3 linked regions of the Tribolium castaneum genome follow. The main gene of each other region encodes a partner of the protein of the gene in region 3 in a complex. Links are inferred from orthologs where the notes say so. Each region holds a gene or a part of one and is shown on either strand. Other genes may lie near its edges. The genes, in order: Tango4, SmD1 and Bx42.

Region 1 (3,424 bases), about 5.6 Mb from region 3:
AAAACCCAAGATTTTCCAGAATAAATTGTAAATTTTCAGGGCAATATAACGAGGAGAATATAAAAAAGAAAGAAAAGCAAATGTCAGAGGAAAAACAACTGGCAGAAAGCACGCCAATTGGTTCAAGATGCAAAGTTACTGTAGCCAATGCTCCCTGCAGACTTGGCACTGTGATGTACACAGGGCCTGTTGAGACCTTACCTGGATATTGGATAGGGGTCAAGTATGACGAACCTTTGGGCAAAAACGATGGAACGTAAGTTACGACCATCAGTTGAAAAAAAATTCTAGCTTTTGTTGCAGATTTAAAGGCAAGAAATATTTTGAATGTGCTAATAATTATGGCGCCTTTGTTAAGCCACACAACGTTGAATGTGGCGACTTCCCTGAGGAAGATTACGACTTGAACGAGGAAATATGATTGGTAACAAGCATTCCAAATTCGCAAACGAATTAATTTATTGTTTTTATCAAATTAAAAATTATTTATCGTAGAGCATTTTAACCTTTACCCTCACGATTTTACATCTAGAAAATCGTAAGTTTTGTGCACTTCTGCGATTATTAATGGTCTAGAAATGTCAAATGGTTTGATTAATTTTCGGAAAATTTGATAAATAATGCAAAGTTGGGTAAAATTAAAACTTTTTAGTAGCTCATAAAATTTTATTTATTATTTTTATAAAAATACAAATTATTTTAATCATAGAATTAGAATTTCCTCCGTTTCAAAATATCGGGTTTCCAGTTAATCGGATGCGTTTCTTCAGTCGCAGTTTCATCCTCTTTGTAGATTTTGATGGTCTTGTCAGCTTCAGTTGTGATTAATCTTGAGCCAGAATTGTCGAAAATCATTGAGAATATTCCAGCTTCACTGTCCATTGACCCAGGTTGTACTGGGGCCTAAAAATGTAACATTAATCGATTGACTTCCTTCAAAGTTACAAAAATTACTTGTAATCTTTGGAAATTGTAACCGGTCCTCCAATCCCAGAAATGTAAAGTTCCATTATCGCCCCCTGAAACCAGGACGCCTTCTGGATTGACAGCGAGACAATTAACAATAGCATTATGACCGGACAAATTCTGTATGAATTTCCCGTCAGGACATTTCCACTGTTTTATGTTATCGGGTGAGCCCGACGCGAACATGTTCCTACAAATAATAAAATAATTACAAAAAAAATAATTAAACAATCGTACAAAGTCGGGTGGAGAATCACATCTCTAACGCTCTTTTTGTGATTGGTAAGCGTACAAATTGATTTCCCAGCTGCCAGGTCCCATAATCTGATTGTGGTATCATGAGATCCTGTGATAACTTGAGGTTCGGAGGCTTGCGCCACCACGCTAGCTACAGTATGCGTGTGGCCGGTCAAAGTGTGAACATTTGCTTTCGTCCTCATGTCCCAAACCCGGGCTGTTGAATCACGCCCTGCTGTTAATAAAACATCGATTGTGGGGTGAAGCGCTAGAGAGTATACAGCCGATAAATGGCCATGGTAATGTCTAATGACTTTGTTGTACTCCAAATCCCAACACTTGACCTGTCTGTCTTCACCGCAACTGAACAAATAAGGGTGTCTACTGCTCACAGCCAACCCTCTGACCGTGCTCACATGCCCAGTTAGGGACACTTTCAACTGCCCACTTGCCAGGTCCCAGATTTTTATTATTCGGTCCGCTGCGCCGGTCGCAAACCACTAACAAAAAAACGGTAACAAATTTGCTGCCAACAAAAATTTTATACCTCATTTCCTGGCTCCACCGAAACACACCTGACCCACCCCAAATGCCCCGCAATCACCCTGTATAGCTTCCAAGGGGCGTGCCATTTCGGCTTTGGCATTGTGGGGACTTTTTTCATTAAATTGGCGAGCTGGTTTTGTGTGTTATTTTGGACGCTTCGTGTCATCAAACTTGTGTCAGTGTACGGTACAACAGCCCCCTCGGTGTTTGGGGCCGCGTCGTCAGTGCGTGTGCCCGGTGGTGGGGGGTTTGGCCCAGCTTCTGCCTCCCGTAAGTGCTTCATAGCTTGCATTTTCTTAACGTCGTCAAAGACTAGGCCGTACAAGTCACGGGCTTTTATGGCTTTTCGCACCATTTCGCTATTTAATTCGTAATATTAAGGGCTGCTTGTTTTTGTGGTTTGTTACTCACGCTTTTTCGTCCACTGATGGCAGTAGTCCCTGGTTTGAGAGAAACATGTCGTGAGACCGTTTCAAGGAACGGAATACTAACGTATGTACGGAGTGTCTCTGCACGTCTTCGGTCATTGTGAAGACGAGTATTTAACTCCGGATATTTACTGAATTGTAATACTAGTAATTAATCTTCGGGTAAATAAACAAAATCGTACTTAACCTCTCTGCAAAAAATCACCAAATCCACCATTTGGTAACTTTTGGTTCGTAGAATAGACAGGAAAAGAAACTACTATTGACTCAACCGTGGAGGGAGTTTGAGTTTTTTTTTTTTTTAACCAAAAAATAGTTAATTTCCATACCAAATTGAATTGAATTTCTTATTTGGGTAGTTTTGGTCACAAAATAAAAGCACGCCAATTTTTTTAACATTTGTATTTTTCAACAATTATAAAAATAGATACGAGTTGTTTCACTTATAAATATTTCGTTATTAAGTCTACAATAAAATACATAGTTTTTTGACCACAAAACGCATCTAGTTTTTATCTGTACAAGTCCCAATGTCAACATTCCTGAGCCCAGATAAAAGCAATATTACACAAATTATTTACATTGTGAGTCGACTACAATAAAGTAGCTTTGCCTAGTGCCCCACTTTGCAGCGATGTGATTAAAAATGCAAACAGAATTATATAATGCAAAGAAACTTAATCCAACGGAGTGATCTTGACTGAAGATCCGCGAGATTTGCGATACCTTTGAAAGTCTCCTGCCTGGTAAGGTAATGCCCTCATATTACTTCTATAATATGGTACATCATACGGAGATATGTGTAATTGATTGATTGGTGGTGACCGATTTCGCCACAAAACCGCCAATAAAGAATAAAATCCACAAATGGTATTCGAAATTAAAGTCATAAAGTTGACAATAATTGGGGTGCAAACCCTGATAAGTCCTTGCGTTTCACGCAAAAGTTTCAGGAGATAGTCTAGAAGGTACTTGATGGTGTGTATCAAGAAAGTGATCAGTGTTGATAACAAAAGAACCATAAATATGGTGGCTTGTTTAATGTTGGGCCAAGTCAAGGTTTCAGTAAACAAGTTCCTCAACTGATCCTTGAAAAACTCCTGAAATTTTGCACCCAATTCACCCAAATTCTTCTGAGAAACGTCTTCAAAAATCTGAGTGGGAGTTATATTATGAACTGGAGTCTTCTCTCTGACTGGCCTCACAACTTCAAGCTTGACTCTAACTTCATTGTGGAAGAATTCAAC
Region 2 (2,246 bases), on a different chromosome or scaffold from region 3:
TACTAGTTTTGTGTTATCTATTCTAATATTGTAATAAATAACATAAATTAATCAGTAACAAGTGTTTTTCAAATACTTTAGGTAGGGGAGAGTGGGGTTATTATGTACAGTGAATAATTATGCCCAAATTTCTGTAGGTTAACCCTCTTATCCTATAATCTAATTTTGCCCATTATAATCGTGTCCACATAATTTCAGCAATTTTGAAGCCTCACTCAAAAACTGTCAAACTAAAAACGTATCTTTCTCATGTTATAGTTATAATTTAGGCGAAAACAAGTCAAAAATTACTTTTTTTAACTTTTCAGATAAGTATTTTCTAACTTCTTATTAACATATAATTTATATAATCGACCTAATCTTAAATTTTTCTCCGCAAAATGTATTCATACAGTGGAACCCCTGTCACCCGAACGGGGATAAACCGACTCCACCAATTATTTTGTTCAATTTCAAATTTTGAATTCGAAAAATTTTTATAACACGAATTTTTGTTTAATTAATTAATTAACTAAAAACACGCAACTAATAAAAATTAAGAACAAGAACACTAGATGCACTAGAGAGAGTTGAGATTTTTAAGGTAAACACTTTGTTGGATTAGTTAAAAAAATTGCTCATATTATAATAACAGGAATCACTTGAACTCAACAAAAGTATTATTCCACTGTATTCTACAAAGATGATTTGAAGTGGCAACGGCCTATTCGGGTGATCGAAGTTCGACTGTATAAAGCAAAATATTTCATTGTTACTACGTGCCAATAGCAAGGTTATTTTGATAATAGCTGTGATAATAGTAAATAATAAAGAATTGTTTTTATTTTCAGAGTCCATAATTATCTGCAAACCTATAAAAAAAATAACGATTTAAAATTGGCGCCACGTAAGTGGCGCTCCCTTCGCAAGTTTTCTTGCCATCTCTTTCTTATATGCTCATTCTCTTTCCCTCTATGGAAGAGGGGGGGTAAAAAAACGTAAGCCAAGCGTGTTTTGCCGGCATAATATAAAAATTGTCTTAATTACACCAAAAATATCAACATGAAATTAGTAAGGTGAGAACGTAAACTACTGATTGATCAGACACGTTTTTATTTCCTTGAATTCCAAGTAAAACTCCTGAAAAACCACCTAACCTAACATTTCGGCCATTTTCAGGTTTTTAATGAAACTGAGCCATGAAACGGTCACAATGGAGCTGAAAAACGGCACACAAGTCCATGGCACTATAACCGGTGTAGATGTGGCCATGAATACGCACTTAAAAGCTGTAAAAGTGACTGTAAAGAACCGAAATCCTGTGAACTTAGACACCCTAACAGTTAGAGGAAACAACATTCGTTACTACATTTTGCCCGATAGTTTACCCCTCGAGACTCTGCTGATTGACGACACCCCCAAAGCCAAGGCCAAGAAGAAGGAGAGCGCCCGGGGGGCTGCCAGAGGCCGCGGGAGGGGCCGTGGCAGAGGGGGCCCCCGAGGCAGGGGCAGAGGGAGAGGGCGTAGATAAGAATACGTTCATTAAATTAAGTTTCGTAATTGTAAGTGTGAATCTTTTCGTTTAGTTCCAGTATTTGTAAAACTTTTATAATTCTGCTAAATTCATCAATAAAACATATTTAGGTTTAAAATGTCTTTGTTATTAAAAATCGGGACCTTGTACTAAAATGTATAAAACGTAAACTGTGAAACAAACAAAACAGAAGGCGGCTACAAATGCGAATGATTTTCGATTGTGTCTGTGGAGTTGTGAAAGTTGGTTTTCGTTTGTGGTTAAAAGTTTGCGAACTTCTCGTAACTCTTTCTTCATGTCGGCTTTTTTCTCGTTGGGGATTTCATCAGATTCGATCTTTTTTTCTAAAAGTTGGACCCTCACGTAACAGGCTTTGATTGCTTCTTCTGTTTTTGTTATCTACAAATGGTTAAATGAGTTTGGTAAAATTAACGTTTTACTGATTACCTCCTTCATGACGGAACATTCTCCTAAAGATAGCCCCATTTTTCGGGTGGTCTTAAACACTGACTATCAATACAGAAACAGATGGACTATCACTTTATTTAACCTCAATTTTTTTTATATTAATAATTATTTTACAAATTTAGGAACATTCTCTTACTTTCAATACAAAAAGTTAAAGCTAAAACATTATCACTCATTCAGATTTGAGATAAGAAATATTTTCTCAAAATCAAAATAAATATAGAAATTGCTTGCCATCGAGTATGCAACCAACATTACAAGCCTG
Region 3 (3,688 bases):
TCAAAATGTTTAAATTAAAGCTATAATTAATACTCAACTAAAATGTGCACTTACCAAAGAAGGGTGGAAATATTCCTGCAAATGTTCCTCCTCTGAATAAGATTGTCTTTAAATAACGAGAAACAAACCCACTAACACCATAAATCCTTACTAATACACAAACTAAACACTAAAACAGCGTTAAACAAAAATAATGCTAAACTACAAAACATGACAGGTGCTAAAAGGCGCGCCGATATTGCAGCACTACCAACGTAACAGTGTAACAGAAGTACCAACACCAAAAAAGCGCGAATTTCAATAGTAAACAGCCTTCGGTTGAATATGTTTTAGTGTTTTTAGTTCAATTTAGTGCTAGACACAGTTCTACAGCGGTTAAAAATTACAGTGTGTTATGGTGTTAGTTCCAAAATTCAAATTTCACTTTAGTGCTCTAAGGCACTTATTTATATGTTGGAGAAGTACATTTTCAAAATTAGAAGTTCACAAACACCACCAATTATTGCCAATTATCAATGGCAACCGCACGATACATGAATGTTTTTCTAAATTTTTGGAAAAATATTAAAAAATTTATTGTTTTTTGTTTATTCTACGTAAGTAAAGGGTCTGCTTGTTGAAGTAACTAGTAGCTAAAAGTCTGTGAGTGGTTGTGCATCTTTTTTTTTGGGGATACCCTCACGTTAAAAATACAGACTGATCCAGAAATACTGAGTCTGTTGGCGACACTGGACTTAAATTTTTAAGGATACTAATGGAATACGCTTCCAGTTAACAACAATTTAACATTCTTGTGGGGTTGTACGTCAAATAGTTGTCAAGAAAAATCGAATTCGGTTGCAATGTTACAAATTACAAGCACAAACACTTTCAAATGTGTTGCCAACAGACTCAGTATTTCTGGATCAGTCTGTATTTTCGAACTTATAGAACTTCGGAACAAACAATCTATGCTCAACCGCGCCCTCTACAAATCATTCCGTCTATTTGACGTTTTAGTAGTGGCGTTAATTTGGGTGTATTTATAAAACAGAATTACACACAATAATCCATTACTTAGTTGCGTTTTTTAAGTACAAATTGCTTTGAATATCGCACAGCGATAATATAATATCAAGATTTTGCGGAAATTGTTTTCCCGAAAGCCACTGTTGTGCAATCGATTTTTACATATTTTCCGATTTACTAGTGAAGTAAAACAATAAAAACTTACATTAATGAGTGCAGTGTGAATATTTTACGCTATTGTCAAGTTTTTGCTGATTTAGGAAAAGAAATGGAATTATCCAGGTAACCTAACCTCACTTTTGGGCTTGTAGAGTAAGACGCATTTATTTTGTAGTTTATTGCCCGCCCCCATACAACCCGTATGGGATCGGGACGACGAGAGACGGCAACAGAATGCCACAACTCAACGTTCCACATCTGTTGTAACAGCCCAAAGCATTGCCCCACCGTATGGACAAAGAAGGGGTTGGGTCCCACGAGTCCACACCGACTATGGAGGTAATTAGCCACCGATTTTTTGTAATTAAATTTAACTACGATGGGACCAACTTTTTTGATTGGTCCTATTAAATTTTATTACAAATAATCAGTCAAGGACGTCGAAAAGTTTTCACTATCACTGATTTTATTGCAATTTATAGATGGAGGCGCATTTCCCGAAATCCACGTGGCCCAGTACCCTCTTGACATGGGGCGAAAGGGCAAAGAATCAACTTCAAACGCCTTGGCCGTCCAATTGGACGCAGAAGGCAAAGTCAAATACGACGTAATCGCACGTCAAGGCCACGGCAAAGACAAAATCGTCTATTCAAAACTCTCCGATTTGTTACCAGTTGAAGTAACCACAGAAAATGACCCAAGTCTTGCTAAACCATCTCAGGAGGAAATCGAAGATATCACAGAAAAAACCCGTCAAGCATTACAACGCCTAACAAATTCAAAAATCGCAGCTGCAATGCCAGTCAGATGTGCCGAAAAACAAGGCCCCGCTGAATTTATTCGTTACACCCCTTCACAACAAGGGGCCGCCTTCAACTCGGGTGCCAAACAGCGCGTCATTCGTTTGGTCGAAGCACAAGTTGATCCAATGGAGCCCCCACGTTTCAAGATCAATAAGAAGATCCCAAGGGGGCCCCCTTCGCCCCCAGCGCCCGTTTTGCACAGCCCCACACGTCGTGTCACTGTTAAGGAGCAAAAGGAGTGGAAAATCCCGCCCTGTATTTCAAATTGGAAAAATGCAAAGGGTTACACAGTTCCGTTAGATAAGCGTTTAGCTGCAGATGGTCGGGGGTTGCAACAGTTGCACATCAACGAGAATTTCGCAAAGTTGGCTGAGGCTCTATATATTGCCGATAGAAAAGCACGAGAGGCTGTGGAAACACGCGCCCAACTCGAGAAAAAACTAGCTCAGAAGGAAAAGGAACAAAAGGAGGAGCATTTGAGACAGTTGGCTCAAAAAGCTCGAGATGAACGTGCTGGGATCAAAGTCGCTGATGCTAAAATCACAGATGAGGAGGAACGTGAGAGAGAAATGCTGAGACAGGACCGGCATAAGGAGCGAGCAAGAGAGAGAAACTTGGCAAGGGCTGCTCCCGATAAGCGTTCAAAGTTGAAGAGGGAGCGAGAGCGAGATATTTCCGAGCAGATTGCTTTGGGGATGCCTGCCAGAGGAGTCTCCTCAAACGAGGTGCAGTTTGATCAGAGATTATTCGGACAGGCTCAAGGTTTGGGGCATGGATATGGGGACGATGACGCGTATAATGTTTATGATAAGCCGTGGAGGGAGGGGGGCTCAATGGCCAATCACTTGTACAGACCTAGTAGGAATGTGGATAAGGAGGTATACGGTGAAGATTTGGAGAAAATCGTCAAAACGAACCGATTTGTTCCGGATAAGGAGTTTAGTGGAACTGATCGGAATGCGCCAAGGTCTGGACCTGTACAATTTGAGAAAGAGGAAGATCCGTTCGGGTTAGATCAGTTCTTGAGTCAGGCTAAACGGGCGAGCAAACGCAAGGAACCGGAGAGGAGGGATGAGAGGGATAAGCGAAAGAGAAGAGATTAAAATATTGATTGTATTTGGGTTTTTTAAATAAATACAATTGTAGAAATTTTTTGTTGTATTATTGAGCAATGGCAGCGTTTGCTGCAATACTTGGGCTGTTGATGACTTCACCCAGACTCTCCAAGAGCTCTTTGCGGTAGTCGTCGAAGTCGCCGTCTAATTCGTTTATGGTCTGGTCTTCTATTACGTACAAGGCGCAATCAGTTTCACTGTAACAAAATTAGTAATTTTTTTTTACACAAAACAATAAAATTGAGTTTTATGGTCGAGCCGAAATTGTTACAAAAACTCGATGGAATTTCATCTTAATTTAAATTAACGAACAAATTAAGTAGCTAATGCAAATTAAAAATTAAATTCACTTCTAATAGTGCTGGTAAACGCATACTTCGCAGCCTGAAATTAGGACGAAAAATATAAAATTTCTATAAAGGGAGGCGAAAAAAGAAAAGAAAGAGTACATTTATTTGCTCTTACCGTATAAGTCGTTCGTCGTGGCTCACTATAATAACCCCTCCACTGAAGTCGTTAATGGCCTCAGCTAGTGCATCAATCGATTCAATATCTAAATTATTCGTCGGTTCATCCAAAATGAGAACATCCGGTGCGTTAAGA

The links.
Region 1: Bx42 (region 3) and Tango4 share a complex: the UniProt entries of both Homo sapiens proteins name them as parts of the minor spliceosome. The link is inferred for Tribolium castaneum from reciprocal best matches to the Homo sapiens genes SNW1 and PLRG1.
Region 2: Bx42 (region 3) and SmD1 share a complex: the UniProt entries of both Homo sapiens proteins name them as parts of the minor spliceosome. The link is inferred for Tribolium castaneum from reciprocal best matches to the Homo sapiens genes SNW1 and SNRPD1.

The regions. Positions count from the first base shown.
Region 1 is NC_087397.1:4,268,750-4,272,173, forward strand, and holds Tango4 (pleiotropic regulator 1), read right to left. Parts: upstream 2,473-3,424; 5' UTR 2,360-2,472; intron 2,309-2,359; 5' UTR 2,277-2,308; coding exon 2,161-2,276; intron 2,109-2,160; coding exon 1,751-2,108; intron 1,704-1,750; coding exon 1,204-1,703; intron 1,157-1,203; coding exon 955-1,156; intron 904-954; coding exon 712-903; 3' UTR 653-711; downstream 1-652. Other genes in the region: Tbcb (tubulin-folding cofactor B), read left to right, coding at 40-256, 304-421; uncharacterized protein LOC656577, read right to left, coding at 2,855-3,424. UniProt on the Homo sapiens protein: Involved in pre-mRNA splicing as component of the spliceosome. Component of the PRP19-CDC5L complex that forms an integral part of the spliceosome and is required for activating pre-mRNA splicing.
Region 2 is NC_087394.1:7,020,242-7,022,487, reverse strand, and holds SmD1 (probable small nuclear ribonucleoprotein Sm D1), read left to right. Parts: upstream 1-900; 5' UTR 901-1,041; coding exon 1,042-1,055; intron 1,056-1,158; coding exon 1,159-1,510; 3' UTR 1,511-1,631; downstream 1,632-2,246. UniProt on the Homo sapiens protein: Plays a role in pre-mRNA splicing as a core component of the spliceosomal U1, U2, U4 and U5 small nuclear ribonucleoproteins (snRNPs), the building blocks of the spliceosome.
Region 3 is NC_087397.1:9,848,741-9,852,428, reverse strand, and holds Bx42 (puff-specific protein Bx42), read left to right. Parts: upstream 1-968; 5' UTR 969-1,276; coding exon 1,277-1,290; intron 1,291-1,342; coding exon 1,343-1,506; intron 1,507-1,649; coding exon 1,650-3,073; 3' UTR 3,074-3,121; downstream 3,122-3,688. Other genes in the region: ATP-binding cassette sub-family F member 1, read right to left, coding at 3,132-3,282, 3,551-3,688. UniProt on the Homo sapiens protein: Involved in pre-mRNA splicing as component of the spliceosome. As a component of the minor spliceosome, involved in the splicing of U12-type introns in pre-mRNAs.